3 linked regions of the Alligator mississippiensis genome follow. The protein of the gene in region 1 purifies or fractionates together with the protein of each later gene. This does not show direct contact. Links are inferred from orthologs where the notes say so. Each region holds a gene or a part of one and is shown in the gene's direction. Other genes may lie near its edges. The genes, in order: DUSP4, MAPK14 and MAPK8.

Evidence for each region.
Region 2: the proteins of DUSP4 (region 1) and MAPK14 purify together in Homo sapiens (affinity purification with mass spectrometry; 3 studies listed by BioGRID and IntAct, with this or other methods). This does not show direct contact. The link is inferred for Alligator mississippiensis from reciprocal best matches to the Homo sapiens genes DUSP4 and MAPK14.
Region 3: the proteins of DUSP4 (region 1) and MAPK8 purify together in Homo sapiens (affinity purification with western blotting; 3 studies listed by BioGRID and IntAct, with this or other methods). This does not show direct contact. The link is inferred for Alligator mississippiensis from reciprocal best matches to the Homo sapiens genes DUSP4 and MAPK8.

What each region holds. Positions count from the first base shown.
Region 1 is NC_081825.1:141,286,936-141,297,208, forward strand, and holds the start of DUSP4 (dual specificity protein phosphatase 4), read left to right. Parts: upstream 1-5,456; 5' UTR 5,457-5,502; coding exon 5,503-5,881; intron 5,882-10,273. UniProt on the Homo sapiens protein: Regulates mitogenic signal transduction by dephosphorylating both Thr and Tyr residues on MAP kinases ERK1 and ERK2.
Region 2 is NC_081837.1:36,162,693-36,173,141, reverse strand, and holds the start of MAPK14 (mitogen-activated protein kinase 14), read left to right. Parts: upstream 1-5,115; 5' UTR 5,116-5,331; coding exon 5,332-5,447; intron 5,448-10,449. Other genes in the region: SLC26A8 (testis anion transporter 1), read right to left, coding at 2,076-2,248. UniProt on the Homo sapiens protein: Serine/threonine kinase which acts as an essential component of the MAP kinase signal transduction pathway.
Region 3 is NC_081829.1:21,154,015-21,164,384, forward strand, and holds the start of MAPK8 (mitogen-activated protein kinase 8), read left to right. Parts: upstream 1-5,201; 5' UTR 5,202-5,258; intron 5,259-10,370. UniProt on the Homo sapiens protein: Serine/threonine-protein kinase involved in various processes such as cell proliferation, differentiation, migration, transformation and programmed cell death.

The sequences.
Region 1 (10,273 bases):
GCATGCTGCACATGAGCTATTTTGGCTGAAAGTGTTTTGAAGCATTTAAGCTGTGGCTATTCAGCTCCAGGACTGCTGGAAAATCAGTCAAGTGTGATAGCTCCTGCTAGTACTTGGGCAGGGAAACTGAACTTGTTGTATGAATTTATTATTGCATTCATACGCACAAGGTCAGTCACTGATGCACATAAACAGACAATTTACAGGCTTACGGTAGAGACAAGGAAATACATTGATCTCATCTAATTCACTGAAACATTGCTGAACACCATTTTCTGTAGTAATTTTGGTATAGCAGAGTGATACCTTTCACTTTCTAGGCTGTGTGGTTTAAACCAGGAACTGACAATTGACACGGGCACAACCCAGCTGTAAATCTAGGAGCTGAGCACACCCACTCACCCACCCACCTACACCTTTCTGTGAATTGCCTTGAGAGATTTATAGAAGCCAGTCATGCACAGTAATTGCCAGGTACAGAGAGAAACCTCCTTGTATTGTACCATTTTAATATAAAAACAAATGTAATTAGTGTTTAAAGTGTCCAAGATAAGTAACGTGTACCTCCATGTGATCCACATGACCTCATAGCATGCACTTAATGGGAGTTAACCTTTGGATTTGATACAAAGAGAAGCCAGTTTGCTCACTGACACCAAGTGTACCAATTCTTTCCTTGCCCAATAGCAGAATCTTGGCACTGGTCTTTATGCAAAGCTTCCATTGACTTTAGGGGGAGTTTGCCACCCTGCCAGGGGGCAATACATGCTCAAAAATCTGGTTTAAATTATGCTTGCATTCAGGCAGAATTTTTTTAATGATTCTGAAAGGAGACACCATGTTTTTAATGATTCTTTTTAGAGCTGAAGAATTAAGGATGTCCTTTATAAGGGATATCTAGGGAAACATATGATAGCTTTCTGGCACTTGGAGAGGGGTATCAGTATATCCTTTTTACCTCTGCACCTGCATTCATTCATTAGAGGTAGATATGTTTCCTCTTGGCTGCCTCCGCATGTGCAGCAAAATAATTTCCCATCATCGTGGCTGCTTAGTTTGTGATCAAAGACAATCTTTGGGGCATCCTGCACAATAGATCCAAAGCCTGAAATACCCTAGATCAGGCAAGCACGTGGCTACAGTTCATTCATGTGAGCGCTGATGGGGTAAGACAAAGGCAAACAAAGGCAAGGCTGACAAGAGTAGGAGTTAGGAGCTGTTTTGGCAGCAGCCAGAAAGCAGTGTTGGGAGGGAGCAGCAGCAAGGGAATGGAGGAGGGAACAGCAGACAGTTCCTACCCTATACCTGAGACTTGGATCTGCCTATAACAGACTTCCTATGCCTGAAGAAGAGTGACTGTGCCCAAAACTTTTCCCAACTATTCAGCTGATCTAATAAAAGATATCACATCTACTCAAAGAACCTTGCCTGCCTATAACATAAGGCACTTCTGGCCTGAACCCTCACTGCCCTCCAACAAGGGCTGTCAGGGGCATGATGGCCAGATGATTGTGAATTGCTGCCAAAGCAGATTGCAGACCTGGGGTACACTGGTGGAAGAGTTCTGAAAGCCACTTTAGTCAGGTAAGTAACACTGGAGTGCATGAGGGATCAGATCCCAGGCCCATGCCTGACCTTTCAAATGCTGCCCTCTTTGGGGAGGAATGTCTTTCTAAGACTTGCTTCAGGGCACACCGTATTTTTGCCTACCAGGTGCTGGAGCTGACACATGATGTCTGGAATGACAGCCATATAACATGGCTAGAAGCTGAAGTCAGGACTCCAGCTCTGTGTAGCCCACCAGCCAAGCCAGATACCTGAACAAAGCCTCTCCTGAATTGATAGGCCTTCTTCTGCCACTTCCCTTACACATGATGACTTGCCTCAACCAAAATACTTGTTGCCAGGGCCTCTTCTCTGCCTGTTCAAAGGCTGATAGTATGGCCTTCTCTAGACTCCAGCCAGGGCTCTTCTATCCCTGTTAACCTTGCTGTGAAGTAGGACTGTGGGAGAAAATTGAATTTAATGGGAAATATAGTGGTTTTGAAGCTTTTTCTTCATCCCCAAATCACAATAACATGTTGAACTTGGAAATCTGCAATGTAAAATTTGCAAAACATTGTTTTGGGGACCAATTGAGGCACTTTGTTTTGATGTTGACATGCGTGTGCTTTGATTTTTGGTGACCAAAACCCCATTTCTCAATGGAAAATGGAAAGGAATCATTTCAGTGTAATGTCAGGTACCTTTGGCATCACCAAAATCCTTTGTTTTTATTCTATAGACACAAAAGTTTGTTGAAAACAACATATTCCTACAAGAAGTTTCCATTTTGACTGTGTGTCAGTTTCTGATGGAAAAACCTTCAGTATGGGCACACTCCTCTAGTTACCAACTATAGAAATGATCCCTGAAAGTACAGCCTTTTGTATGGGTTTAGGTTGTAGCCGTGTTGGTCTAAGGATATAGGCAGACAAGGTTCCTTGGGTGAATTTGATCTCTTTTATTAGACCAACCCCAATGGTTCTATCAAATTCACCCAAGGAACCTTGTCAGCCTTTTGTATGGACATTCTCAGGCAGGTCTGTCCTGCAGAGCCCTGTTCAGGAGCCCCTTGTGAACCAACCTTGCATTGTGTGTCCAGTCAAAGATAAAAGGCCTGTGGGGAGGAGAGGAATGAACACGGAGGATGAAACAGAGAAGGGATGAGCTCTGGGGGCTCTGGTGAGTAACAGTTAGTATATCAAATAACAAAACAGGAAGCATTTGAATTACAGTATCTTAATTATATCCCTGGAGCCTGTTGAACCTAGCTACTCTATCAGATCCCTCCCCCCCCTGTATCCCAGCTAACCCCATGATTCACATTATCCACTGTCAGGCCTCTAACATGATTTGGCTTGATGTGTTTAAACAATTTACCAATATTCCTGTATGTCATGATCTCACCGTTACAAATTGGTCCCTTCCCAGGAAGCAGAAGCCTTGATAGCCAGGGAGCTGCTACTTACAGTAATGTATTCATTTCATACATTGAGAGGGAAAAGACAAGAGGCCTCTTCTTTCATTTTTTTAACAGCTTTAAAATCTCTCTCTGTTTTTTTTCCCCTTCTCCCGTGTTCATTTCTTTCCATCTCCCAAAAGATGTGAATTCAGAAGCAGGAATTGGTGCTGGGTTTGGAGGGGGAACTGGGGGCTGTGCCAGCGCTTCTTCTGGAAGTTCCTGGCTAGAGGGTCTTACCCCTCTTCTTCGAGTCAGACCAATCAGCATATTTGGGGTCAGGAAGGAATTTTATCCCATGGTCAGACTGGTATGGACTGTGGGGGGGTTTGTCCTCTTCTGTGGGGCAGGGGGTAGCCCTCTACCAGGGATCTCTTGAGCCTATATTGACAACATTTCATAGAAGCAAGACTTTGGCTGCTGTGGTTCCTCTGCTTTATGTGTGGCAGGTTAGAGTGTTAGGTCTGTGTTGCATCACAGTTGAGTTTAAATCAGTGTTTCTCAACCTGTGGGTCATGACGCAAAAGTGGGTTGCAAGAATATATGAAAAAGTCACGAACAAACTTTAAAAATGGATTCTCCTTTAAAGGACAAAAGCATGGGAAACAGTGGCTTTTCCCTTTCAGAGTTCCAGCCTGCCAGGGGCTGCTTGGGGCCCCAGTGCCCACACATACCCTCCAGCCCCACACACCTACTCCCTACCCTGCACACTGGGGGAAGGGGGGGGGGCTGGGACCTGGGGTTGGGGAGCAACTGGTCCTGACTGAGGGGCATTAGCTGGGCCAGGGGGCTGTTTCCTACTTAAATTATTTACCAGATCAGGACTGGCCATGGATGTTTACAAATGGATCCTGGTACGAAAAAGATTGAGAACGCCTGGGTTTAGATCATGGATTGTATAGGCAACCCCTGCTTAGTGCTCTTAATTGGTTCCTGAAAAACTGAGCATAAAAGCCAAAAGAATGTTAAGTGAAACAGAAAGTATTTGATAACACAAGATGGAGATCGCAAGTGCTTTTAATGACCCAAGATGGCAACTGTGAGAGTTATAACGAAACTCACTGAGTGCTAAGTGAAATCAGGTATTAATTTAAAATTAGCATTATAGTGAAAAAGCACTAAGCAAAACAGCATTAAGTAGGGGTTGCCTGTATAGCAGCGGTTCCCAAACTGACAGATTGTGTACCACCAATTTAAAATGATACAGCCTTAAGTACCACCAGCAAATTTTTGTCATATAATTTAAAAAAATTGTTAATGTGTACCACTGACAGGTTGCCTGAGTACCCCTGGTGGTACCTGTACCACAGGTTGGGAATTGCTGCTGTATGCCATGGTTTGGAGAGGTATGGCCCTGCCTCAGGCAAGGGGGTTGGACTAGATGAGCTTGTAATTCTATGATTCTGGAGCCTATGATTCTATGATCATGATTGTTGCTGTTTTTAATAAACAACAACAATCATTTGATTTTGCTGGGCACCCCTTTGTTTGAGGGCTGGAGCAAGGCCTGGCAGGGCCCCGGGGAAGCGGCTAGCCCAGCCCCCTTCCCCGGGCAGGATCATCTCTCCCAGAGCCTCGATGGACAAACACTCCTTTGTTGCGAACAGTCGCTTCCCCGCGGAAGGAACAGGGAAGGAAGTGGCTCGCTGCTGCCAGCAGCCAGGTCACGGGGGAGAGCTCGCAGGAGGTCTTTTCCCTGGGGCAACACGGGGCTCCTTCTGGCCGAAGGCCACGTCCCCTCACCCGGGGTCTCCCATGCACCGGCGAGGCGCAGCCGATGAAACCCCCCCTCCCCCTCCCCTGCGGGGGCGGGTCTCTGCATGTTCCAACGTTCGAAAATGGAACCCCGCGTGTTGCTCGTTCCAGACCCCGCGGGCCCGCGCCGCCTCTGCCCCCAGCCGCGGGCAAGGAAGCACGGCTCTGTCCGAGCCTGGGCAGCGGGGCAGGCCCCGATCTCTGCCACCGCCTTGATGACCAGCCCTGGCCGGGCACCATTGCGGGGGAACCACAGCGACTCTGAGATCTGGGGGGGAGGAAATCGTGTGTGTCGGGGGGGAAGGGATTGTGTGGGTGGGTGTGTGTGTGTGTGGGGGGGGGGAATGGGGCAGCTCTCGGCCCTGGGGTGTGAGCAGGAGGGGGCAGGGGCAGACCTGTCGGTGGGGTGTGCGTGAAGCAGGGTCATTGGGGCAGCTCCTTGCGGGTGGGCACGCAGCGCTTCCCCCCCGGCTCATGCCCAGGTTACGGCCAGTCAATGGCGGGGGGAGGGCCGGCGGATGGCCGCGGGCAGCGCTCCATTCACAAAGCGGCGACGCCGTGTTCCACTGCCCGGTTTTATGAATGGAGGCGGCGGGCGGGCCGCGCTCACAATGGGCCGCGGTGACGTCAGCGGCGGCGCGCTCCATTCAGCGCGGCCGGGGCGGGGCGGGGCGGGGCGCGAGTAAAGGGGCTCCCGCGGCGGCGGCGGCGGCTGCGGCGGCAGGAGCTGGGGCCGGATCAGCACCATGGTGGCCATGGGGGAGCTGCGCGAGCTGGAGAGCGGCGGGCTGCGGCGGCTGCTGGCGGGCCGCGAGGAGGGCCGCGTGCTGGTGCTGGACTGCCGGCCCTTCCTGGCGCACAGCGCAGGCCACGTCCTGGGCGCCCTCAACGTGCGCTGCAACACCATCGTGCGGCGCCGCGCCAAGGGCGCCGTGAGCCTGGAGCAGATCCTGCCGGCCGAGGCCGAGGTGCGCGCCCGCCTGCGCGCCGGCCTCTACTCCGCCGTGGTGCTGTACGACGAGCGCAGCTCCCGCGCCGACTGCCTGCGCGACGACGGCACCGTGTCCCTCGTGCTGCGGGCGCTGCGCCGCGACGCCGAGCGCGCCGATGTCTGCCTGCTCGCAGGTGGGCCGGGGCCGGGGCCGGGGCAGCCCCATGTGTGGAGGGGTCGCGGTCGCCCTCGGCCGTGGGTGTCAGCAGGAGGGGTCGGGGCAGGCGGGGGGGGGGGATCACTGGGGCAGACCCATGTCTGAGCAGCCCCTGTGTGGGGGGGAGTGAGTGGAAGGGGGGGGGCAGCCATGTGTGTGAGTCGGAGACTGGGGTGTGAGCAGGAAGGGATGGAGCAGTCCCATATGTGGGGTGTGAGTGAGTAGGGGGGTCACTGGGGCAGCCCCAGGCATTGGGGGGGGCAGTTAGACCAGCCCCATGGTGCTGGGGGGACAACCCTGGGCCATGGGATGTGAGCAGGAGGGGATGGGGTAGCCCCCTAGGTGTGGTGTGAGTGAGGGGGGAGGTCATTGGGACAATCCTAGGCAGGGGTGTGCAGAGCAGCTGTCAGGGCAGACTTCAGTCATGGGCATGAGTAGGAGGGGGCAGGGGCAGCCCCCCATGTGGGGTATGAGTGAATGGGGGGGGTCATTGGGGCAGCCCTGTATATGGGGTGTGAGGGGGAAAGGTCAGAACAGCCCCCATGCGTGGGGAGTGAGTGGGGGCCAGGGATCAAAGCAGTCTTGTGTAGAAGGTGTGAGGGGGGCAGGATCAGAGCAGCTCCCACGTATGTGCTGTGAGTGTGGGTTGGAGCAGCCCTGGTGTGGGGGAGGTGTGTGGAGGGGGAAGTAAGAGCAGCCTCTGCATGGGATGTGAGTGTGGGGAGGGATCAGGGCACAGGGAGATTGAGGGAGCCATGGGGTGCATGGGGGGGAGGGAATCAGACAGTCCTGTATATGGGGTGTAAGTATGGGAGGGGAAAATCAGGGCAGCCCCTGCATTGAGGGGTGGGGGGGAAATCGGAGCAGGCCCCATGCATATGGGGTGTGTGGAGGGATCAGGGCAGTCCTTGACCATGGGTGTGAGCAGGAGGGTTCAGGGAAGTACTGTGCGAGGGGGGTGGGATCAGGGAGGCCCTGTGCCTGGGGTGTGGAGGGAGCCCAAGCAGCCCCAGGGCCTGGAGGGTCTGGGTGCTGGCCCTGCTCCCCCCCCACGCCTCCTGCTTGCTCTGGAGTTGCCAGGCCAAACACTCCTTGCTCTGTTCCCTGCAGGCCAGCCCAGCTGCAAATCCAGGGGCAGGGGGTGGGATGGGGGTGGCTGTTCTTTCTCCTTCCCTCCCTGCCTCCATTCCCGCTTGGGGCACATTTGTCATTCCTCCACAGCCCCTGCTCTTTCAGCCCCCCTCTCGCCCCTCCCCAGGCCGGCAGGAGGCTCCCCACACAGTGTGGGGGACAGTGGCTAGTCACTTCCTGCCCCTTTGCCCAGTCAGCTGCTGGGGAAAGGCTGCTGGTGACCTGTGCCTGACCTGCCTGAGCTTGGTAGGGCTCAGCTGGCTTTGCGGCTGAGGCTTCTGCCCAAGGGACAAGAGATAGGAGCAAAAAAGGCCCCGTGAAAGGATAGCTGGTCTGATCTGGCTCCATACAAGGGGTGGTGGGGCCAGTGGGCTCCCCCAGCACTGGGGTGGGAGCTGCCATGTGTCTGTGAAGGAAACCCCTGTGGCCCCTTTTTTTTTTTGCTGCTTCAGCTCTCTGAGCCCTCCCAGGCTGGATTTTGACAGAGTGATGTGATGCTTTTGGTGCCCAAAAAAGCCTTCTCCACAGAGGAGGACTTTGCAAGTCTGGTTTTTTCTCCTTCCCCTTGTGCTCTGGGTAAAGCAATCAAACCACCCCCTTTTTTTGGAACATGGAGGCTGAGTTTGCTTTGTGTATGGTTATGTTCCCTCCCACCACATTAGTCTGAAGTCGAGTAGAAGGCAGAGTAGATGTGCACCTTATATGCTACCCAAGTAGATATAGATAACAGAAGCTTTTGTGAGCTGAAGCTCACTTCATGATGAAGTGAGCATCACCTCACAAAGAAGCTTATGCTGTCTGTATCTACCTTGGTTATTCTATAAGGTGCACATCTGCTCTGCCTTCTACTTGACTTCAGACTAACATGGTGAATTATGTGTCTCAACCTTCTGCAGGCCAGGAATGAGCTCTAGGGCAAGTCTGATGAGAAACCTGCACATTTTTGAATATTCACAGTAATTCAGAGGAAATGTCATGGTGCCTCTCTGCTGGTGTAGTGGGAGATGTGGCCAGGTCATGAATCTTCCTTCCCAGTCTCTCAAGTCTCTTTAATTGTTTCAGCCAAGACACTGCAAAACCTAGGCTTGGGGGTGCGGGGACGGGACACAAGGACAGCTTAAATCTTGAGAATTTAGGTAGGGAGCATCGGGAAAACTGAATGTGTTTTATCTGGTTTAAAGCTGGACAGATACCTGCAGGAAATGGCTTTGAAACCGCAGCAGCGGAACCAGCTGCCGTGATCCTTAATTTGATGCAGATAATTAAAATTAATTCCTTCCTCTCATCCAAGCTAAATACAGCGAGTTGTGCTGAAAGAAAATCAGCCGTTGTTCAGGTCAGAACACTGAAGGCAGATCATCAGTTACGTAGCAAAAAATGATTCTCGGTTGTGTAAGCATTCCCTTCCTCATAGTAGAGCAAAACCCTTTGAAACTGGTCTGCACCCCCTGATGACAATCTAGTGATTGTTGCCTTTTTAATGGCCTGCATCTGATGTTCGCTAATTTAAACCAAATTAAAATCGCAGTAATAGTGACAGCGAGAAGTTTCAAGCTCTGTAATGAGGTTTTCTTAAAATTCCCCTCAGTCTATTTTGGAAACATGCGTGCCCAATGGAATTGCACGGTTTTTTGTTTACAACCAGTGCGTTGTAATTTATTCATGGTTTTACTGACAATGGGGGATCGGGAGCGCACGCATGTAGTTAGATAGTGGTGAGTCCATTAATAGGTTTGATAAATGTTGTATTTGGCATTTATGTTGTGCTTGATACAGTAAAAACAGCAGGAGCTCCGATAAGGATTAATTAATTCTCAAACAGGGAGCCTTTTTCTCAATTGTTTTCTTGGCAGTGGCATCTAAAGGGACTGTGTTTTGTCTCTTGTTAATAAGTCATTCTGATGCTGATAAAGATGCATGCAAGCTAAGACTGCTTCTTTGTTTCAATGACATGACCGTCTACCTTTGCTTTTAATTGTAAAAGCCTTCATTGGCCTGACTTGACTTCTTCTCTTTGGTAATATCTTATTAAAACCTGCTCTTCAGTTCTACCTTCTCAAATTATATGTAAAGTCTCAATTCCTTTTACCAAAGGGAAAAAACAGTACAACCAAGGAAATTCACACAACATTTTAGGCACTGCATTCAAAGAGCTGAATTTGGCTAATGTCAGTGGGAACGGTGTCAATCCCCAAAATATGTATTATGTTAAATTCACTGTGTTTGTTTTTATTACATGTGAGCTGCTGTTGATAATGACTGTAATAATTTTTGTTTACATATTCCATGTGCATTATGGCAATGCGGAGCTTCAAAGCAATTAATTGGAGTACAAAAAGATCAAATGTCTTGCTAATCACATACAGCATGCCAATGGCTCAAGCAAGATTAAGACCTAGAAACATGCAGGTCCTCAGACCTGTGCTGTGTAGATCACACAGCCTGCCGGCATCTTAAAGCTGCAATAATAGCAAGTGAAACAGAATCACTTTATATTACTCCAATCCACCTTTGGAGTGCTGTAATATAAAGTGTATAGCGTTGTAATACACAGACTGCATGTTAAGAAAGGGTTATGGGAACTTCATTCAAGGATAAGAGAAGGTATTTGGACTGGAAGAGGATGTTAGTAGCTGGTAGCAAAACACGCAGTAGTATCTCTCTCCCTCCCTCCTCCTTCCCCCATTTCTTTTGATTCTGCAAAGCAGTCAAGTATGTGCTTAAACCTCATAGACCAAGAGGGACTGAATTGGGATGGGTTTAAGCAAGTGCTTATAATTGGGCATGTTGTTTCTTGTCCTTTGCTTACTATGTTTTCTCCTAGATGCACACAGGCAAAACACAACCTTTCAATTCCATTTTTTTAATGGAATCAAACTAGTTTTAAACTAAAACTCAGCATTCCCTTGGAAATTGGACTCCATCATTGCATGCCACAGCCTTCAGTATGCAGCCTGAGCTGCAAGGCATCCATTACACCCTTGTAGATCAGGAGTAGATCCACTGTGATCAGGTTTGCATTTAGGCTGATGTGGCTGATCATCAGAGTCTGGGATGAGCTCCTGGTCCCACAAAGACTAATGATGGAACTACTGTTGGCCTCTCTGGGTCAAGCTCTCATGCTTGGTTTCTAGTTCCTGCACGTGGAACAGGGATTTGGAATCAGACTGAAGACAGCAGCCTGTGTCCTGATCTGCAGTGACTTACCTCTGTCCTAGGAGAGGCACCAGCCAGCATC
Region 2 (10,449 bases), on another chromosome or scaffold:
TGGGAATGAAATAGAGAAAAGAAAATAGAGGATGTTCATGAAATAGGGAAGTGAGAAAGAACCAGAAAAAGGAATATGAGGAAGCAAAAGAAACAAAGGGCAGAAATAATAATGTTACTAAAAGGAGGCAGATTTTGTCACTGAATGATGAATGCACCAATAAAAGACTGAACAAATAATGTTTAGTTACAACGTAAAAGCAATAATTTATCTTAATCTCTGTGAAAATCATCTACTGATGGCAGTAGGACCACATGCACCAAAATGTGAACTCCAGCTCACAGACCACATTTAACCCTCTCCACCAAATAGGTTTGAAACCATTGCTGCAGTAGTTTGTTCGCTGCCTTTCCCTTTTTGTTAAATATCCCAAGTGATGGTGCTTTTCACAAACCAACTGATTTTATTATTAAGGGTGTTCCTGAGTGAATGAAAAGCTGGAAAAGAAGTAGTGAATCAATTTGTGCTCTCATTTACATCAGTGTAACCCTAGATTACTTCCACTTACCTCGGTGAGATTACTGGGGATTTACTTCAATGTAACTGAGAGCTAAATCTCTCATAGTTTTGTATTAAAATTTGTATTAACAGTTTCTCAGATCTGAGCAGGCTGGAATGGGATAACATTTAGACAATTAAGTTCACTTAGGTGTCTTACAGGTGGAAAAGGATCGAGTCCTTTATTTTTGGTGAACTCTGAGACAGACTTCTGAGAAGTGATAAATGCATCTTTCAGATGACTTGGCGTCCACTTTTTTATGCGGACAGTGGTATTTAGGTGCAAAAGGAGCCCATCTAGTACACAACTACTGTTTCTTGTAGGTCAATTCACAGAGAGGTACCTGGTGCTATTTAAAAATAAATCAAACCTGACACTTACAGGCACCCCTGTTTTCTCTGATGAAGATGTAGTACATCCAAATAAAGCCAGAAATTAAGTGGACATGAACATAACTCAGGGACAGCTCAAGCTAGGTGCCAGCAGCATCAAACCAAATTAAAAGGGAAACTGATAAAGTGGCTCCCAAACTTTAACTGGTTATGCTTTCCCTGATGGAAGAACAGGGGACATTCTCTGTTAAAAAACGCTGCTATCTGGTGCACGCTGTTGGGAACTCACCATAGACGGATGGTTTATAACAGGAGAGACACCCTAATCCCAAGAGCCAATGTTCCAAAGAGAATTTGTGAGGGTTCAACTTTCCCATTCTTTTCAAAGAATAAAGGGCGGGCAAATGGGTTAGAAAGAGGGTATCAAAGATACAGCCCACAGACCAAATCCAGGCCACAGAGCTGTGTCACCAAGTCCGTGTGGCTCCTGGAGAAGCCTTGTGATCTTCTCCAGGAGCCACAGATGTAGGGTAAGTGGAGGCAAGGCCCACCATAAAAATATCAGGGTATGGAGCTCTGTTGGGGATGTGTTTCAGTAAGGGCTGCATTAACCTCCCAGCTCCCTAATCTGATACAGCACTGCTCACCCCACCACTGCTTGCCCACTGCTCGCCTTGCCACTGGAGCTGGGTTCAAATCCGACCCAGAAGATTTCTTGCTGGCTGGTTCTAGCCCGAGAGGAGCCCTGCTGTCAGGATGTGGCCTGGGGGCCAAGCACGTCTGACAGTCACTCCTGGGTGAGAGCAATTTTTGTCAGTCCTGCAGGAAAGCCAGCCAGCCTCTCGGTCCTACGAAGAGGGAACCGAAAATGGTATCTGGAGAATTTAAGCAACCAAAATAGCAAAATCTACAAAGCGGAAAAGCAGACGTAACCTTGTATCTAGCAACTTGGGTGGCGGGAAGCCCTGAAACAATTGGCACGGTTCCTCCTCATCACGCACAAAACCTTGGGCTGATGACAAGTCTGAGACAGACGTTCATAATGGACAGAGACCGGCGTGGACTGTCGGCTGTAGCGCTGTGCTGAGCTTCGCCTCCCACTCCCCAGGCATGGAGCTCTGTAGCGACTATTTGATTTCAGCTGTTATTACAAACTTCTGGTTTTGCATTGACAAGTAGCAGCAGAAGGACAGCACCTGACAGAGCCCCTCAGCTTTTTCACAGATTTCCAGAAAACAACTCACCTGCATTGGACCTTCCTTCGTTGGACTTGAAAGATTTTGAAATCCCTGTTCTTGGGCAGGGGCTCGTGTCTTTCGTAGGTTCTCTCAAAGTGGTCTTCAGTGCGCAGACCCCGATTGATGTGGTAGCTCCTTGATTGCCTGTGCGGACCGAAGGGATGACTGTCTGGCTCCATCCGGTCTCGGACGTCCGAAGGCACGGGAACCCCGAATGCCGGCAAGCAAAATGAAAGCTCTCGTCTGCGATGCTAAAGAGAGGAAAGAGGGTCACGGACCTGAAATGACTCTTCAGATAGTTACACCGACTGAACCGACCGGGCGCCAGGGTCGGTAATCGACGCCCGGGGCCGCCCCACACAATCCGCAGAGTTAAATTAGGCTCTGGCAGCTGGAAATCCTCTATCTGCTAAGTGCAAGCAGCAACCCCGATGCGGCCTGCGGCACCGCCTGGTCACGTCGGGGCGGGATGCGATCCTGCTAGCCCTGCGTTGATCTCTAGGGCCTGCGAGAGCAGTGCCCCAGCCATGCCGCTGAGCCTCTCGCTCTCCTTCCCATCCCGTGAGCCCCTCCTTCCCATGGCTTTCTCCGCCTCCTTTTTTTCCTCCCTCTTTCCTCCAGGCCTCCCTCTGCCCCTCGCCCCTCAGCCGCTGGGGCCGTCCCAGGCAGGCTGCCCACCCTGCCCACGGCAGCGCAATGGCAGGCGCTGGCACGGCCGTCCCCTCAAAGCCGTGGCTCGGCCAACTGCCAGCCCGGGGGGAGGGGTGGAGGATCTTTCTGGAAGGCTCCCACCCCAGGAGGGCGCCGGGTCGGGTCCCCCTCTTGGAGGAAACTGCGGCTGATCCACCCCCGAGGGAGGGCGTCTGACTCCCCCCCCTTCCACTTCTGCCCCAGGTGGGACAAGAGCCGAGTCCCAGGTCTACCCGCTCTCCTCGACGGGCGTGCAACGCGAGGGACGGCTCCCAAGAGCCTGGAGAGGCATTGCCAAGGATCCTGCGCGGCAAACGGGAAGGTCGCGGCGCAGACGCCAGCTTCCTGGCTCCAGCCAGCGTTGCCAGCACGGCGTGAAAGCAACTTCGCCGGACTGGAAGTTGCGCACGGGTGTCCCACCCCCAAAACAAGCGCTCTGCTCCCAGCTTGAGCTCTCATGGCAGCCAGAGGAAATGTTTTGAGGACACGTTCAAGAACATGGAGGCCCACATCAAGAGCTGGGAGCTGGCTGCTAAGTGACCCCAAAGGTGCTGCAACCTCAACCAAGCGGCAGCCCGCTCGAGGTAAAGCGTCTGCCCGTCTAAGCAGAGAAGAGAGAGCGGAGACAGGAGAAGGAGAGGAGCCCCAACCTACAGCCGATTCCCCCTGAAGAAAGATCTGCAACATCGGCGGATGGGTCCCGTGGCTCCATGATTGGACTCTTAAGTCACCTGAAGACCCAGTGATGAGGCATGGTAGAGATCGGCCTCGAATCAAGGGATTGCTGCTGCTGACCATTTGAACTGCGCGGGGTAGTTAGACTTGGCTTGCGCGCACATTGCAAGTGGCAGGACAGGCGAGATCCAACCTCCTCCCTACTTATAACTTCTCAGGGGAGCAGACTTCAGTCCCACAAAGCCAAACTCTAACACCAGGGATGTGGCTTGGGTGGGATCACGATCAAATTGCGCTGGATGGGGCAAATACCACACAAATATCACTATTCCTGTCTCAGGGAGAAGCGGAGGCTTGACCTCACGCCTCAGGTGAAGTATAGCACGGTCCACGGTCCTAAATTCAAACCCCACTAAACACTGGTTATTTGTTGGTTGACCATTGCTCATCTCTTTACTTTCTTCTTCTTATTTTAATTCAGGCTCAACTTCAGCACTGCTTATTAGGACATGCTTTACTTGAAGTGCTGATTTAAAGCCAGTTGGTTTAATCTAATTACCTGAAACACATGCTTCAAGTTAAGTATATCCACATCTGCTTTGGCAGCATGCCTCGTGCAATGCGGACAAACACAGATATTCCACTTCCCTAAAATATTAATAGTGCAGAAGGTGCATGCAATGGGGGCCCAGGCCCAGGACACACTGGGAAATCCACCTGGGGGACAACTGTCATTGCAGGTCTTTCAGATGGACACTAGAGGCCAAATCGGCATTAAAAGGAAGGACATGGTCACACCAAACTGGGACTCGGGCTCTCCTAAATCTGCTTCTGTGCAAATGCGTCAGGTATCCAGTTGGTAGCTGTATTGGTCTAGAGGAAAAAGCAATCAGGGTCCGTGGACAGAAGTGATGTCTTTTATTAAGATTTTTTTTGCAAAGATCTTGTTGGTTTAATTGCAAGCTTTCAGGCACAAACACCCTTTATCAGGCATCAGAGAAACACCTTTCATACAGGCCTAAACCTGGATACCGGACGCATGGAATATGTTGAATTTTAGCTGATTTTTTAAATGAAATCTTCATATTTTCCCAAGCTGGAAGCAACTGCAACCGCCTGAAACGTGAGACCCTGCTCCTGCCTTTGTTTCAAGGTAATTCGCATCATCACAGATCCTCACAGGAGACCTGTCCTTAACAGCTATGAACCACTGCCCTGAGTTTTCCATCTATTGACCCCTCCATAAAATCCTGTGAAATACGAACTTTCATTTCTACCCGGGAGAACTTTTCCAATCTTTTCTCTGATGCCTGATGTGGGTTTGTGCCTGAAAGTTTGCAATGAAAGAACTTGCAATTAAAGTTTGCAATGAAAGTCTGCAATTAAAGATTTTTTTTTCCTTTTTTTGCAAAAAAAATCTTCTTGGTCCAATGAGAGATCGCTTCTGTCCCCTGGCCGTGACGGCTCCGTGCAAAAGCCTCAGCGAAGGTTATTCCCGCTCGGGGTTTCTTTAGCTGATTTTGCTCCTGCAACCACACGCGCCGCGGCGCCCCCCCCCCGCCCAGCTCTCGCGAGACCGCCCCCGCGCTGGTTCCATATTGGGTCATCCCCGTCCCCGCTGCCACAACTCTCGCGAGACCCACTGGAGTCTCGGCCGGGCTGTGCCACTGGCGGAGCGGGAGGGGGGCGGGGGGTGGGTGGTTACGTTGCTCCGCGGTTGCCGTCAGCGCCTGCAGCCGCCTCTACCTGCTCGAGGAGCCCCCTGCCCCCGCCTCCTGCGGCCCCCCCGCCCCGCGCGCGAGGGAGGAGCCCCCCCGCCGGCTCGGGAGGGGACGGGAGGGGGGGCCGCGCGCGGGACCCCCCCCGCCCGGCCCGGCCCGGCGCCGCCGCCGCCGCGATGTCTCAGGAGCGGCCCAAGTTCTACCGGCAGGAGCTGAACAAGACGGTGTGGGAGGTGCCCGAGCGCTACCAGAACCTGTCGCCGGTGGGCTCCGGCGCCTACGGCTCCGTGTGGTGAGTGCCCGCCAAGCTAAGCAGGGTCGGGCCCGGTGCGCGCTTGGATGGGGGACCGCGGTGGCCCAAAGGCCTCGGGCTGCGGGGACAAGGGGAGTTTGGTGCCTGAAGCATTGGGGCTGCAGAGGTCATTTAGATGCAGATCAGATCACGCCTATGCAAACTGTCCCGTGCGCTCTTCAATCCCGACAGCGTGTCCTGCTGCTGTGAAATGATGTCAGCGTGCATTTCAAACCCGGTGGTTTGAACAGCTGGGGTCAGGTAGCAGCAGAGCCTTTTAGGTGTAGAAATATTGGTAACACTGTAATGGGTTTCTCGGTGCCTGCAGTGCTCCAGCACCTGATGGGCCGGTGGGTGCAGCCAGGACGCACCTGTCACTGCATTCATGCAAAATACTCATGGTAGAAGTCAGGCTGGAGACCTCCAGAGGACTTGTCTAGTCTAACCCGCCCTGCCTGAGGCAGGGTTGTTCCTATCCAAAGCGTCCTGTGCGCCAAATCATCTTAAATACGCAACCCATGATCAGTTAATGCCAGAGCCATAGTCCCCAAATGCAAATAGAAATGATTTTCTTTTGCTGGGGTTACACGACCCCAGCAGTCTTTCCTGCCCAGATCAAGGGGCTGGACCTGATGATCGCATGATGTCCCTTCCAGCCCTAAACTTCTGTGAATCTTTACACGTTGTAGCTTTAAAAAAAAAAAAAAAAAAGCTGTCTGTTGGTTCTGTTTTTTTTGACAGCAACGTGTTCATTTGAATGATAAAACTGTCTGCAAGTTCCATTCAAATAACACCTATTTCCTAAAACTGCTGTGTCACAAGGAGATGAGTATTTGTCCCCTGCCGTGTATAAAGGAGTTAGTAGTTTGAATAACTGAATGTGCTCTTGGAACTGTTATCGTTGAAAAGCTGAGTTTAGTTGCAGCAGACCAGAGGCCTGACCTCCCTAGTTCATGAGTCCTCCTGAGGTGCTGAATGTGCTCAACCCTCTTGGATTATAATGGGGGGAAAATGAGCATGCTTCCTGACCGTCTGACTTTATTTTTAAGAACAACCCTTTCAAAATCCCTCCTCCTGTTCCAGATTGTGTTTTCCAGACTCTAAGTATTGCTTCCAAATGCTTCTTTCCACTGCTAACAACGTAAGGATTTGCATCATGAATTTCCTGTTTTGCAGTGTCAAAGCTTTCAAAGATTGTGCAACTGCCTTTCAGTAGCAGAAGAACCTATTTTTTATTGAAAGCAGTTTCAAACAGACTGGAGTCTAGTAGACATATCTACTGTGTCTTTCTGTATGTCTTATAGTAATTTTTTTCCTATAGAAAAGGGAGAAAATAGGTCTGTCCCCGCTGCTTTTTGCTGTACTTGGTTTGAATAGTGTAGTTTATCTTATAAAATTTGATGGCACTTTGCTACTAATCAAAGTTCATGTCTGTTTCTACAGACTTGCTCCTTCTTGGCTCATTTTCTTTTCCAATCTGTCATCACTACGAAGTATGTTGTATTTAAGATATAATTGGAACAGATTAAGGTTACAACAGCAAAGCCAGGAGATTCTCCTGCAGTGTTAAATTGAGGTAGTGAAATAAGCAGAATATACTAAGATATATCACTATAGGGGTATGTACCAGGGAGGATGTGAATGGGTGGGTGGGAGCTGGGGGTAGAGGGAGTTTAAACAGGAGGAATATTAAGTCTCATAGAGAGAAGACTTTTTCAAACATAAATAATTGCATCAGCAAATCATGAAGACCATATTTTCCAAAGTATAACATCATTTATTTAGGAGATGGTGCAGGTAGACATCTCAGTTGTTTTTAGGAGACAGCTTTAATTTAAGAAATGGAAATTAAGATGCAGAGATACGGGGTGGAGGCTCAAACTTTTAGGAACTGAGAAACTGATGTAGACAGAAATGTTTCTTACACTCAGCAAATAATCATTTGCTGTTGTATCTGTTGGATGGAATACATATTTCATTTGATCGTACAACAGTTTCAATATTCTTGACACAACCCTGTGGTTTAGTCTACACGAATTCATTCTGGGGTTGCTGAAGTACCTCTCTCATAAAGCCCTGACAGTTTGGAAGAGGGGATTTTGAATAACTTCCTGCAAGGTTGTAAAATGGAATTGATGCTGCTACAACACTAGTAATTTCCCTCCCATGTGGGGGAGAACTAATTGTAGATAGCATGGTTTCAATTAGTTCCAAGCTAAGAAAAGTGTGTTATAGATGTTTCAGCACTTTGAAACGGTCAGTACTCAAAACGGGTTTTGCACTAGATGGGCATAGTGTTGCACAGGCATTATGAATGCAAGGCTTTACAAGCAGTGTCTTTTTCTTGTAGTCGGCTTTTGCCCAAAGTTTTTGGGAACTTCACAGTCAAATATGTTTTAATTTGTTCTAGAATATGTCTAAAGCTTCATTCAGTTTCAGGAGGAATTTAAGCAGATGCACAAGAATCTTGTAACATGGCTCGTATATAGCATATATATCCAGATACACACAGTACAGTATTCACAGTAGTTTAGGGCTGGAAGGGACCTCATGAGATCATTGGGTCCAGCCCCCCTGCTCTGGGCAGGAAAGACTGCTGGGGTCAAGTAACCCCAGCAAGGTGTGCATCCAGTCTCCTCTTGAAGATCTCCAGGGTAGGTGCCTGCACCACACCTGCTGGGAGTCTGTTCCAGATCTTTATCTGGATCCAGATATGTTTCTGTTATGAGTGGAAGACTAAAGCGTCAGAACTAGATTTGTTTCTCAGTTACTAATCATACAGATAGTTTAGTTTCCTTTGAATTTGTAGTAGTTTCCCTTTTTTAAGTTAAGGAACTTTAAGTGCTTAAGACTAAGGGGAAATGTAGTGAAAAGCCTTAAATGTCCCATTCCAAATACTTCAAAATAATAATGATTTTTGCAGGCTTTTGAGTTAGCATTTGTCTTCACCTTCCCAAATCCATCAGCATAGCAGAAGTGCTCCTGTGTACATGTGTGGGAGGCAGGGGAGAACTACTAGCAATACAAGAAAACTGCCGTCCCAACTCATAGATGAAATAATCTGATTTGATCATAGCAGTTCCAAACTGCCCTGGTAGTCTGTATGTGGCTTGCTCACACTGGGCATCTTCTTTTCATTTAAAAGGGTGTATGGGGACTGACTGGTGAGAAATTTTCAGGCTTGACAGTGGTCCGTTGTTCCAAAACGTTTGGGAAATACAGGTTTATAGGACTTCTGGTTTGCTTGTGAATGTGGGTGTGATTTACATCTGCAGTACTGAATGAGAGAAAAGGAGTCTGAATGCTGTATTCAGTGCTGGAAGTAGTGAGGATCCTGTTCATCTTTATCCTCTTGTAAGAGGAGATTCCAAAGGCCACCGGCAGTTCTTGTTATGGTTTTATCTCACGCGTTCATGAGTTTCATTGTCCCAGATGCATGTAGTTGTGAACTGGATGCCATGTGGAGGAAGATGACCTGAGGTAACAAGAGTAAGTTCCATGAAATGCTTCCTTTTGGCTGTGTAGGTTGTAGCTGTGTTGGTCTAAGGATACAGGCAGACAAGGTTCTTTGGGTGAATCTGATATTTTTTATTAGACCAACTTAAATAGTTGGGGAAACAAATTGCTTAATATGGTTTTTCCAACTATTTAAGTTGGTCTAATAAAAGATATCAGGTTCACCCAAAGAACCTTGTCTCTTTTTGGCTGTGACAGAGATCTTGTCTTTATATTCCATCAGGAGCCAGTGTACAGAGGAAAATACCAGGATGCTGTGTGCATCTTCTTTTAACTAAAATTGTAGGATTTTAGTGCGTTTTGTTGAGTTAACTCAAGAGAAAACAAGCAATTATCTGACTACCTCATTAAGGATGCTTGAGGTGTTCTCTAGTCTTCACAGCTCCAAAATAAGGTGAGTCATCGTGATCCAAAACAGACTCATACAAATTAGTCATAAATCTTTACTAAGTTTCATCCATTTCAAGAGGCAAAGATGGCATACAACACAGTGTAATAAGTCTCTCTCATGTTAAAAAAAGGGGATCCTCTGTGTATTACTCAGTTTTCTCAATTGCCATCTCTGTCTGATGAAGTGAACTCAAGATCATGAAAGCTTGCGTGCTCTATCTCATTTAGTTAGTCTACAAGCTGCATACCTATCCTGCCTTCTATCCCACTTTTGGCAAATAAAGTTTTGCTTTGTTGTGACTGGGTTCTCTTAAATTACCCCTCTTCTGGTATCTGTAAGATATTCCACTTTAAAGAAGGTAGGGGCTTACGGCAGCTGCTCTGCCATAACTGCTTTGTGTATTTTGCTCCTGTCCCATGAAAATTAGAAGCTATTTTGTGCTAACTGTGCTTTATTGTATTCTTGACCTATGCCTCCCTTTAACATGAACTTATTGGTTTGTGTGTCCAGACTCTTACAATTTTTCAGGACCTTGCCATTGTCTTCAAATTTGATAGACTCCGCATCCTCACTTTTGTTTGAAATGAATTCTGGGCTAAATTAGAAGAAGACATAAAACATGTTTAATTGTTAAAGTCTAGTTGAAAGAAATGAGTTTATAGCTAGCTTTTGCAGAAGAGTGAAGTTGCTTGCTTCGCTGGTGAAGGGTGTTTCAAGTATGGGGAATGGTATGAAAACAGCTGTGAAATAGTGAGTGGGAGGAAGAGGTTATGAAAAATTTAGAGAGTCAGGTAGTATTAGCAGAAACTATGTGAGCAGGGGCAGAGTAGGAGACCAAATTCTATATTAGGAAGCATGAGGCAGAGCCTTGAAAGTGAGAGCAAAGAATTTGAACAATTAATTTTCAGAAGTGCATTTAAGAGTGTACATCTCATTGTATGGTATTTCAGGCTGTAAGATATAGGCAGGGCAGGGAGACTTGTAGCTTTTCTTTGCAAGCTGGTCTTAATTTACAAGCAAGAGACTGAAAAAGGTGTTGAATCACTTTTTTTTTTTTTTTAGTTAGCAGTTGTTTCCTGGTTGGAGTGTAGGTAA
Region 3 (10,370 bases), on another chromosome or scaffold:
AAAAAGGGAGCAGGGAGGACCCGGGCAACTATAGGCCCATCAGTCTTACCTCAATCCTGGGGAAACTCTTTGAGAAGATCATCAAGGAGTACATCTGTGATGGGCCGGCGTGGGGGATGATGCTCAAGGGCAACCAGTACGGTTTCATTAGGGGCAGGTCATGTCAGACCAACCTGATTGCCTTTTACGATCAGGTCACAAAAGCATTGGATGCAGGTGTCGCCGTGGATGTAGTCTTTCTAGACTTCAGCAAGGCCTTTGACACTGTCAACCACCCCATCCTCATTAAAAAACTAGGCGACTGTGGCATCGATGCCTACACAGTCAGATGGATGGCAAATTGGCTGAAGGGTCGTACTCAGAGGGTGGTGGTGAACGGGTCGTATTCGACCTGGGGGGAAGGTGGCAGCAGAGTCCCCCGGGGCTCGGTCTTTGGGCCCGCACTGTTCAATTTCTTTATCAGCGACTTGGACGACGGGATGAAAAGCAACCTGTTCAAATTTGCTGATAATACCAAACTTTGGGGTGAGGTGGGCATGCTAGTAGGGAGGGAAAGACTGCAGAAAGACCTGCTTCACAGTTAGGGCAGCTAGGATCTGGAACCAACTTCCAAGGGAAGTGGTGCTGGCTCCTACCATGGGGGTCTTTAAGAAGCGGCTCGATGCCTACCTGACTGGGGTCAATTGAGCCCAGTTTTCCTCCTGCTCAGGCAGGGGGTCGGACTTGAAGATCTACAAGGTCCCTTCTGACCCTACTTCTGTGATTCTATGATCTGCTGGTTCTCTTGTACAGTAAAACAGGGAGGCTGATTAAGCTGAAAAGACCTTTCAGGGTTTGTAACCATCTTAAAGAGAATCAAATAGTTACCAGAGAAGATCATCAGTCATATATTTGTAGCCTGGGCGGTACTCCAAGATGTACCCCCTCTCCAATTGAAGGGATCAGAGCAGGTGCACGAGTGCTGTGGGAGTTATAGGGACCCTCCTTCCCCTATAGAGCAGAGCCAGATCTCCAATGGGTACTTAACCATATATTTTTTAATGGGAAAAACAGTAGTGGGATCATAACATGTATAAACCAGGGGGTACAGGGGGCACTACAATGCCCCAAGGGGGCGGGATTCAATAAAGGTTAGGCATTTACATTCATAGACATATTCATCAAGTTGACAAAAGACAGGTTTAACAAAGTATAAAACACAAACAGCACAACAAACAATACTGGTTGGTGAAATATAAAATGCACAAAATACAAAACATCAAATAACAAGAGACAGAGGGCATAGGTATCTGGAGGGGGGGAAGAGGGAAAACACAATGACCCCCTCCACTGTGACAAAAAATCTCACTTTCACTTCACTCATTCCAGCTGAGACACGAACTCAGATTTTCCACATGATAGGCAGAAACCATATCACACAGTCACCAGTACTAGAACTAATCCAAGCTGCTAGGGGTTTTGACCTTTCAGGAGCCCCTGTGTCATGTCAAGCTGCCCTGCCTCTGGCTGGAGGAGCTGGAAGCAGAGCTGGGAACCTCTCGGGCCACTGCTCAGCTTCTTGCTGGAGCTGGGGAACCTCTCCTGTTGGCTGCAGCCTCTTGTAGGGGGATCCTGGAGCCCAGCAGGGAGCCTTTCTTGCCAGCTGCATGCCGCACTGCTGAGGGTCCAACTGCTGCCTGCAGCTCCCACTCCTTCAGGTTCTTCTGGGGCAACTGCTCCCACCCCGCTGGCCCAGCTCTTGCCAGCTCTTTGAAACTCCTTCCTTGTGGTCCCTCACTAGTCTTCCCAAGTCAGCTGCACTGCCCCTTTTATCCCCCCCCAGGTGACCCGAGGGGCCAGTCAGGGGACATGGAGGGGGAGTCTCTGGGGCCTGATTGGTGAGGAAAGGGACTCCCAAGCTCTCCAATCATTTCTTACCCTTTCAAAACCCCTGGGCCAAATCACTACCAGCTAGGCTGTCACATATTGGTACCCAGACACCACTTGAGCAGAGAAAAATGTGGACCTGAGGGGGTGAGCCAGAGGGTTTGGAATTATGCTACCAGAAGTCAAAGTCCTAAAAAAACGGCATCAGCCTATTCTGTGGAATCTCAATCTGATCACATGAACAAAGGCACTGGTGACTTCAAGTTTCATTAGGATGGCACAGAGCAGGGGTGTTAAATATGTGGACCCTGGGCTGAATCTGACCTGCAGAGCTCCATAATCCAGCTCCCAGTGCTGCCCTGTTGACCTACATGCTGTACTGGACTTGCCCTGAGCCACATGCAGTGCTTGCTGGGACTGGGTCCCTGGCTACACCACTCACAGCACTCATTGGGGCTGGTTGCAGGGTGCACTGCAGGCAGCAGTCACATGGGCTGCCATCGCAGGCCACTCTGAGTGCCACACGTGCTGGATCAGACATGTGGGAGGGGGGATGGGGGTCTGTGGGCCTGATCCAGCCCAGGAACCAGCCCTGTTCCGCTAATCTAGCCCACACAGACAGATACATTTGATGACCCTGTCATAGAGGGTCAAATAGCCAATGTGTGGTACATTTGGTGATACTGCAATAACTTGTATGATGAGATAACTTTACTGAATTTAACAAAAGGAAATCTGGCCTTGTAGAGAAGTAACTACTCATCTCCAAGAAAGTTGTCAATCAAAGTTTTTGTCACAGACTTCTTTCTTTCCAGTTGATATGACTTGCAGCTGCTAAACAATATCCTAAGCTCTGATGTTCCTACAAGAAAGGCAATCAATGAAATGGCATAGAGAATGTTGGAAGACCAAAGAAAGAAATTAGCTGAGTCAAGTACTGACACCTAAAGACCTTGATACTTTTGTACGGAAGCAGGCACTGAAGATTAACAATGGTAACATATTGGATGCAAAAGAACTAGAAATCTTTAGTTCCAAAAAAACTCCAGACATCACAGTTAAGTGACAATATGCCAAATAACAGGCACTGAAATAATAAAAGCATCAAAGGTCAGAGGTGTCAAAGTAATTAAAGAAGGCTAGAAGCGGAGGAAAATTATTTGGGTGAATACTGAAGCACTGGCAGATACTATTTAGGGCAGGCCTCCGAAAATGTTATTTTGTTCTTTGAATGCAACTCAACAGAAAGGCAGAGTGGGAGTGGATTGAAAGTCTAAGCTGAATTCAGAAAAGGATACTTGTTTCAAAAGGAACTGGACAGGAAAACCAAAGAGCACCTGTAGTAAGGACTGTCTACCGCTGGCTTCAGTCCAGAAAGAACTGTCTGAAATGTTTCACAGGCAGGAATTAAACATAGGATGCAGGTCATACAGTGTCGCCAGATGCCTCATTCACATTGCAACTGGCCATCCTACAAGCACAAAAGTAAGGAAGGGGGAAAAGAGCAGCAGATAAACATACTGATCTTTTGTCAGGCTCTGGAGTAGTAGACATACACACTGACATGGATCTAGAATTTTGAAAAGGGCGGTGCAGATGGTGAGGTGCATTATTACATATAAAACAACACACATTTTTCTCCATTTAAGAAGGAACTAGAAGCTTTACTAATATGCTAGGGGCCTAGGGCTGTTTTACTCAGGTTAAGATGGAAGCAAAAACAAATATAATTTTGTTGGAATGAGTTAAAAACAATTTGCAGGTCTGTGAAATATGAGCCTCATTACCAGGAGCAGCTAGTTGACAGCAGAATTGCAGAACAGAGGATGATTGATGGAACATCCAGGCCATTAAAAAGAAGAGAAGGGCATTAATATCTGTGGCATGAAGAGTTTAGCAGGGATCAGGTAGGTTATAATGAGTCATAAAATCAAGTGAGTCCCTCAGCACTTCCTGACTCAAAATGCTGCTGTCACTGCCAGGCAGTTGGTTTTAACCTTTGGGTGGAATAGGAATTTGGAGTGCGGGGTTGTCTGTGTACCAGTGCACCTCTGCCTGGATCCACCCCTGCATACTGAACAGGAGCTATACCCTGACTAGTGATGAGAGAAAACCCTGGTCCCTGAAAGAACACAGGACTGGAAGGGGCCTTTCAAGCCCAGTCTGTTGCATTTGCAAGCAACCATTTACCCAAGGATTCTCTCAAATCTTTGCTTTAAACCCTCACACACAACTACAAGGCACAAGACTAAAGCCTGAAGCATGGGTGACTGGTGCCTCCTGAGTCGGGGGGGCACCCGCAGCCAATCGCCCGCCTGTGTCCCCCGGTGTGTTGCCTATGGTCCCAAGAGCACCATAGCACGCAGCTGGTAAAAGCAGAGAAGATGGGACTTTGCTACTGCCCTGCCAAAGCAATGAGGGAATGCATACACACACAAATCCCAGGAAGAGAATCCTTGAGAACAGAGGAGAGCAAAGCCCCATGCTACAGAGAAGAGCAAAGTCTGCACAGGTCTCCTCAGCCTGACCAAGGGGAAAACTTCATTCCCACTCAGATGTGGCAACCGGGATGGCCCTGAGCTAGGGTGGCCATTCGTCTGGTTTTGTAGAGGGCGGTCCAGTTTTCTGGTCCTCTGTCCTCGATATGAAACCGGATGCCTTTGTGTCCTCTATTCTTTCACCTCTCGGCACCCCCCCACCACCAACATGGTTGTGGCTGCCCGTGGGAGCTCCCCGCTCACTGTCACCACTGTGCACCCCCAGCCGTGCGAGGCATATGACTGTTCATGGTGGCGGGGACAAAATGCAGCTGTCCTCTGTTCTTGAGGTACCCCGACAGCCACCCTGCCCTGAGCAGCCAGCAACCCTTGTAGCAGGGCTCGAGCTTCCCAGATGGGCAGGAGCAGCCCTAGGTGTGGCTCTTTCCAGGCCGGGGAAACCTTCTTCCAGGGGGCAGCAGCTTTCCAGAGGGAAAACAGCCCTTCTGGTCCCTGCAGATGACCCGCAAGGCCTTGAGGCAGGCCCCGGGCTGCCACATCCCGATGCATAAAGTCCAGAGCGGGGGGAAGGGAGGGATTTATAAATGCGCATTTCACGCCTCTCTCTGCTTCGTTGCAGGCCTCCCTGTCCTGGGAGCGCCGCTCCCACCGAACAACCCCGCACAAAAGGCGGCCTGGGGCCACTGCCGGGGCCGGGGCCGGGGCCGGAGCCGGAGCCGCAGCAGGTCGCGGAGGCGTGTCCAGCCCCTGCCGGGCGGGGCCGTCGTGAGCGCTGCGGTCGCGGGGCGTGGGGGGCGGGGCCTGGGCCGCGGGGGCGGGGCGTGCCCGGCGCAGGGGGGCGGGGCGTGCGTGTGCGCCTGCGCGGCTCGTTAGTCGGCGGCGGCGGTGGGAGAGGTGAGTGCGGGCGCGCGGGCGGGTGGGCGTGGGCCGCGGCGGGTGGGGGGGACCCCCGGGCGGCGGCTCGGCCGCTTTGTTTATGTTTTGCTGTGGGGGGAGGGGCCGGAGCCGGCCCCGGCCCCGGCCCCGGCCCCCGTGAGGTGGGGGCGGGGCCGCCGGAGCCGGATCCCGAGCGCATCCCCGCGCGGGGGAGCGATGCGGGCGCGGGGCCCTTTGTTGTGGTGCCCGCTGCGGTGCGCGCCGAGGCCGGCGGCTGCAGCAGCCTGAAGCCGGTGACATCTGTAGTTCAGGCCGCGCCGTAGCTCTCGGTCGTGTCCCCCTCCCCCCCGCGATACCGGCGCGCTGAGAGCTGCGGCGGAGCTTGGCCGCCGTGTGGGGGCTTTGCATCTTCCTCTCGGTGACGCGCTGCAGCGTTTCCCTGCCGCCGGCTGCCCTGAGCATCTCCCCGCTCTCCGGCCTCTGATTTCACCGGTTCGGGGGGGGGTTCTGCTTTGGGGGTTCCGGGACCAGCTTCAAATGTGAACGCCGCTTGCCCCGTTTCTCTCTGACGGGGGGGCCGCGGGCGGGGTTACTTTGAGTGTTATATCCTAGAGAACATCCAGACCAGACTAGCACAGACGTTTCCCAGCCTGCCCCAAAAACATCTTCTAGCTTGGCCTGATCATGGGGTAACCAACCGTAGGTTATTTTATAAAGGAAAACGATTAATTGCCCTGGGAAAAGTGTCTGATCTGTGTTTTGCTACAGCCTGCTTTTTTGTAGAGGCATACAGATTACTAGTAGCAATAGGGCAAAAGATAGTTTCACTTTCACAGTGAAGTAAGTATGACATGGTGAGGCAGGTGTTTGGAAAGTGGCCTTTGCCTTGGTTTGTTTTGCATCCATCAGCTGGTATACCCTCCTTTCACTAATATGTTTTAAATGACTCCAAAGGTAGCCTGAAGGGAGGGAGGTCAAACTGCTGCTTAAGGTTGCCATCGAAGTGAATTTGTTGGCTGTTTCATGGATAAGTATATAGATGAAATAAATTGCGTACCTGTATGCTACAAAGTATGTAATAGCTACTGAACTGAAAGTGTTGCTGAAAGTGATTCATTTTAATTTCTTGAGGCAACCATTTTGATTTATTTGCAAGGGGATTCAGATAGGTGACACATTTCAAATTCCTGTCGGTCTAGGGCAGGAATCCTTGACCTTTTTAGTCAGGGCATCCCTCCAGAGCTACTGAGTATAGCAGCATGTCCAGCTGCGAACCTTTGTTGTGTTCATCTTGCCTCAGTTCCTAACCGGGTGCTGCTGCTGCCAAATAAAAGGGCCCTTTGCAGCTGCTGGGTAGCCAGACTGGGAAGGGCTGTGGCACATGCAGATGCTCCTCCTGCTTTCAGGTTCTCCATTAACACTAAAGCAGACAATAGAGGTGGTTCATGCTGCAGTTCTTCCCAGTCCGATTGGGTACAGCATCTCCTGGAAGTAGAGACCTGTGGAGAGATGGACCTGGCCTATGCGTCTCTTTCCAGGAGGAGCATGGGGGGCAGAAGTAGACTGGGAAGAGAGTTATCAGAGCGCCCTAAGGCAGGAAGAGTGCTTCTATTACAGCCTGGCATGCAAGGCAGTTTTACCAACTGCTGTGGCAGCAGAGACTGCATCACAGCACCCCTGAGGGGGTCTTGCAGCACTCTGGATAAGAACCACTATTCTAGCATGTAGGACGGGGTGGGCAAAATGCAGCCCGGGGGCCAGATGCAGCCCACCAGGCCCTTCTATTTGACCTGCAGGGCCCCTAAGAAACTTAGAAAATTAATATTTATCTGCCCCTGGCTGCCTATCATGATGGCGCCAAAACTCAGTAAGCGGCCCTCCGCCCAGAATAATTGCCCGCCCCTGATGTAGGACCACACAGCATTCCATGTGTGTTTGTTTTCTTTAAATAATGTCAAACACTTTTACTAGAAAGTAGCAATTTGATGAACCTATTGCCTGCATTATTTTTATTGTACCACTTTTTATGTTGGTGCCCACCCTAATTTAAACGTGGAAACAATGAGCAGGGTGAAGTGGCATGCATGGAGCATGTGTCTGTGGTGGTGGTTGGATTGTGAATGGAGCATAGGAGTATGTCACTTGGCAAAGGAGTTAGATATTCTAGGAAAAATATTTCATTCTGAAACAGAGATGTGTGGCGGAAAATTTTCCAGTGCTTTATTTTTCTGTGGGACATTTTCCATTTCTAAAAATTCATGATTTCATAAAATTCATTAGTAACAATGAATGGATGCCAATACCATATTAGGCAAGCTTGGCAGTTTCAAAGTTGTAATTAATGGTTTTTCAGGTGATTATCCCTAGGAAGTATGTGAGAGAGCGCACACATGTTTTATTGATTTGTAAACAGGAGGGTAAATACACTCACATAACAATCCAAATAAAAAATCAAGTTATAGATTCATGGATCTTAGGTTCGGAAGGGACCTCAGTAGGTCATTGAGTCTGACCCCCTGCCCTGGGCAGGAAAGAGTGCTGGGTTTAGATGACCCCAGCTAGGTGATTGTCCAGTCTCCTCTTGAAGACCCCCAAGGTAGGGGAGAGCACCATCTCCCTTGGAAGCCCATTCCAGATTCTGACAATCCTTACTGTGAAGATCTTTCTAATGTCCAACCCAAATCTGCTCTCTGTCAATTTGTGGCCATTGTTCCTAGTGACTCCAGGGGGTGCCCTAGTAAACAGAGCATCTCCTATTCCCTGCTGCCCTCCCCTGATGAATTTATAGGCAGCCACACAATCACCTCTCAACCTTCTCTTGCGAAGGCTGAAGAGATCTAAGTCCCTCAGTCTCTCCTCGTAGGTCCTTGCCTGCAGGCCTATAACCATACGAGTGGCCCTCCTCTGAACCCTCTCAAAATTCTCCGCATCCCTCTTAAAATGCCGCGCCCAAAACTGGGCACAGTACTGTACTCCAACTGTGCATGACCAGTGCCGCATAGAAGGGAAGCATCACTTCCCTGGACCTGTTCATCATGCATCTGCTAATGCATGATAAAGTGTGGTTAGCCTTGTTGATCGCTTTCATCACATTGACGCATGTTCATCTTGGAGTCGACTATGACTCCAAGATTCCTTTCTGCTGCTGAGGAGGTCATCCCCCAGCCTGTAAGTGTGTTGGTGGTTCATTTTGCCTGGACTTTGCGCTTGTCTTTGTTGAACTGCATCCTGTTTCATTCTGCCCACTTTTCCAGCCTGTCTAGATCTGCCTGGATCCGTTTCCTACACTCTGGTGTGTTAACTTTGCCCCATAATTTGGTATCAAATGGTATGAATTCACCTAAATGGCTGTGCAGGTCAAATCAAAACCAAAGCATGGCGTATTATGCACAGTTCTTTGGGTGTGCTAAAATTAATGTGTCAACAGTTTTCAGTGCCTTCATTCTTTTTCTTAAATTTAAACAAACAATATAAGGGATTACATGCTATTGTGTATTGTCTTTACATTTAAAAGAATATTCCAATAAAAATAATTTCTTTCCATATAAAGCTTTGAATTTGTTTGAATAGAACATTTAAACCACGTTATGTGTGCTGTATTTAATTTTTTTCCTAATCAAATATTTCAGTTCAAATACTTGTGGCTATTGGGACATAAAATTAACATGAAGGGGTACTTTTTTAGTTTTGTTGACTAAGTATAAGTCAAATAAACATGCTAAATCAGATCACGCTCTAGGGCATTGGAAAAATTTCCGGAACATTTTCCAATTCAAAATTTTCTGGAAAACCCACAGCTCTGTTCTGAAAATAATGAGATCTGATGAAACAGAATCTGTTTGATACAAGTTAATATACTCTGAAATGTTATAACTGATTCCAGTTCATCTGAAAACAATTTTGCAAGTGTCTTGTTTCACACATTGATTGTATGGGAGTCTGAATTTGTTTCTCTAGTGTTGTCATTGTGATGGTTCCCCAAATCCTGGATGTTTTGAGTTTGCTTTTTGGTAAATGTAATTTAATTTTGAAACTTCTGAAATGAATATCAGTTTCTTTGTGGGAAAAGAAGTAGACAGAGGTGAAAGATGCTGCCATTTCTTATGTGGTACAGCTACTACATGTACATATGTGCTCTTTTTTTTACTGACAAATACACTTTTTTTCTGCTTGTTAGCTGTTGCATAGGGTTCAGTGACCAGGACTCCCTTTTGGCTTATACATCAACACTGGAAGAATTGCTAATTAGATTTCTGTTTATAGAATCTTTATTGCCGATGGTGCAGGAGCCAGAAAGAGCCCAGTTTGACTTTCAGATCCTAAGTGAAATTTTCAGGGACAGAGTCTGAGGAGAAATATTTGACTAGCAAGCTAGTTGTGAACTGAAATATTGAGAGAGTGTGTCCATGTTAAACCCCACAGTGTGTTTCTTGATTCATACTCTGATTTATACTTTTAGGAGTATAAGGATAAGGGATTTTCTAGGGGAAAGTACTGCTCATCAGACTTTCTAACTTTAGGGAGCAGTAGTTTTGAGGCTATATAGAAATGCATGTGCAATTTATTTTGCAAATCAGTTGGGTAAACTTGCTATATAGGCCAGTTATTTTAACAGTTTAGTGATGTACAGTGTCTCCATCTCGTGGGATGTGTGTTACAAGTTTAAGAAAATATTCTCATACCTTACTGATAATATGGAATGTTTTCTTTAGTAGTTACTTGGCTATAGACACTGATGGTCAGTGGTCACTGATGTTTTGAGGTTTTTCTTAATAATAGGATAGGAGTATTGAGTTGTGCTTCCCACTTATTGTCCAACTTCAGCATACTTATGTTTGTTCTCTCATTCTCAATCTCACCATTGTTCCAGGTGGTTAAAAGATTTACAGGAAGAGCATGTTCAAACTTCAAGTCTGAATTGGACACCTTTGTATTAATCTATTAGATTATGATGCGTTTGTGGGGGGGGGTGCTCTTTTTTCTTATAGTTTATTAAGGTGTATCTAACTCTCGCTTCATATTTCTTTCTCTCCCTCTAGATGTGATGAAAGGGTCTTGATAAAAAAAAGTCTTTGATAAATTGTACTATTGACTCTTTTTTTTGGTCACAAGTGTCCCTTTTTAATAAGG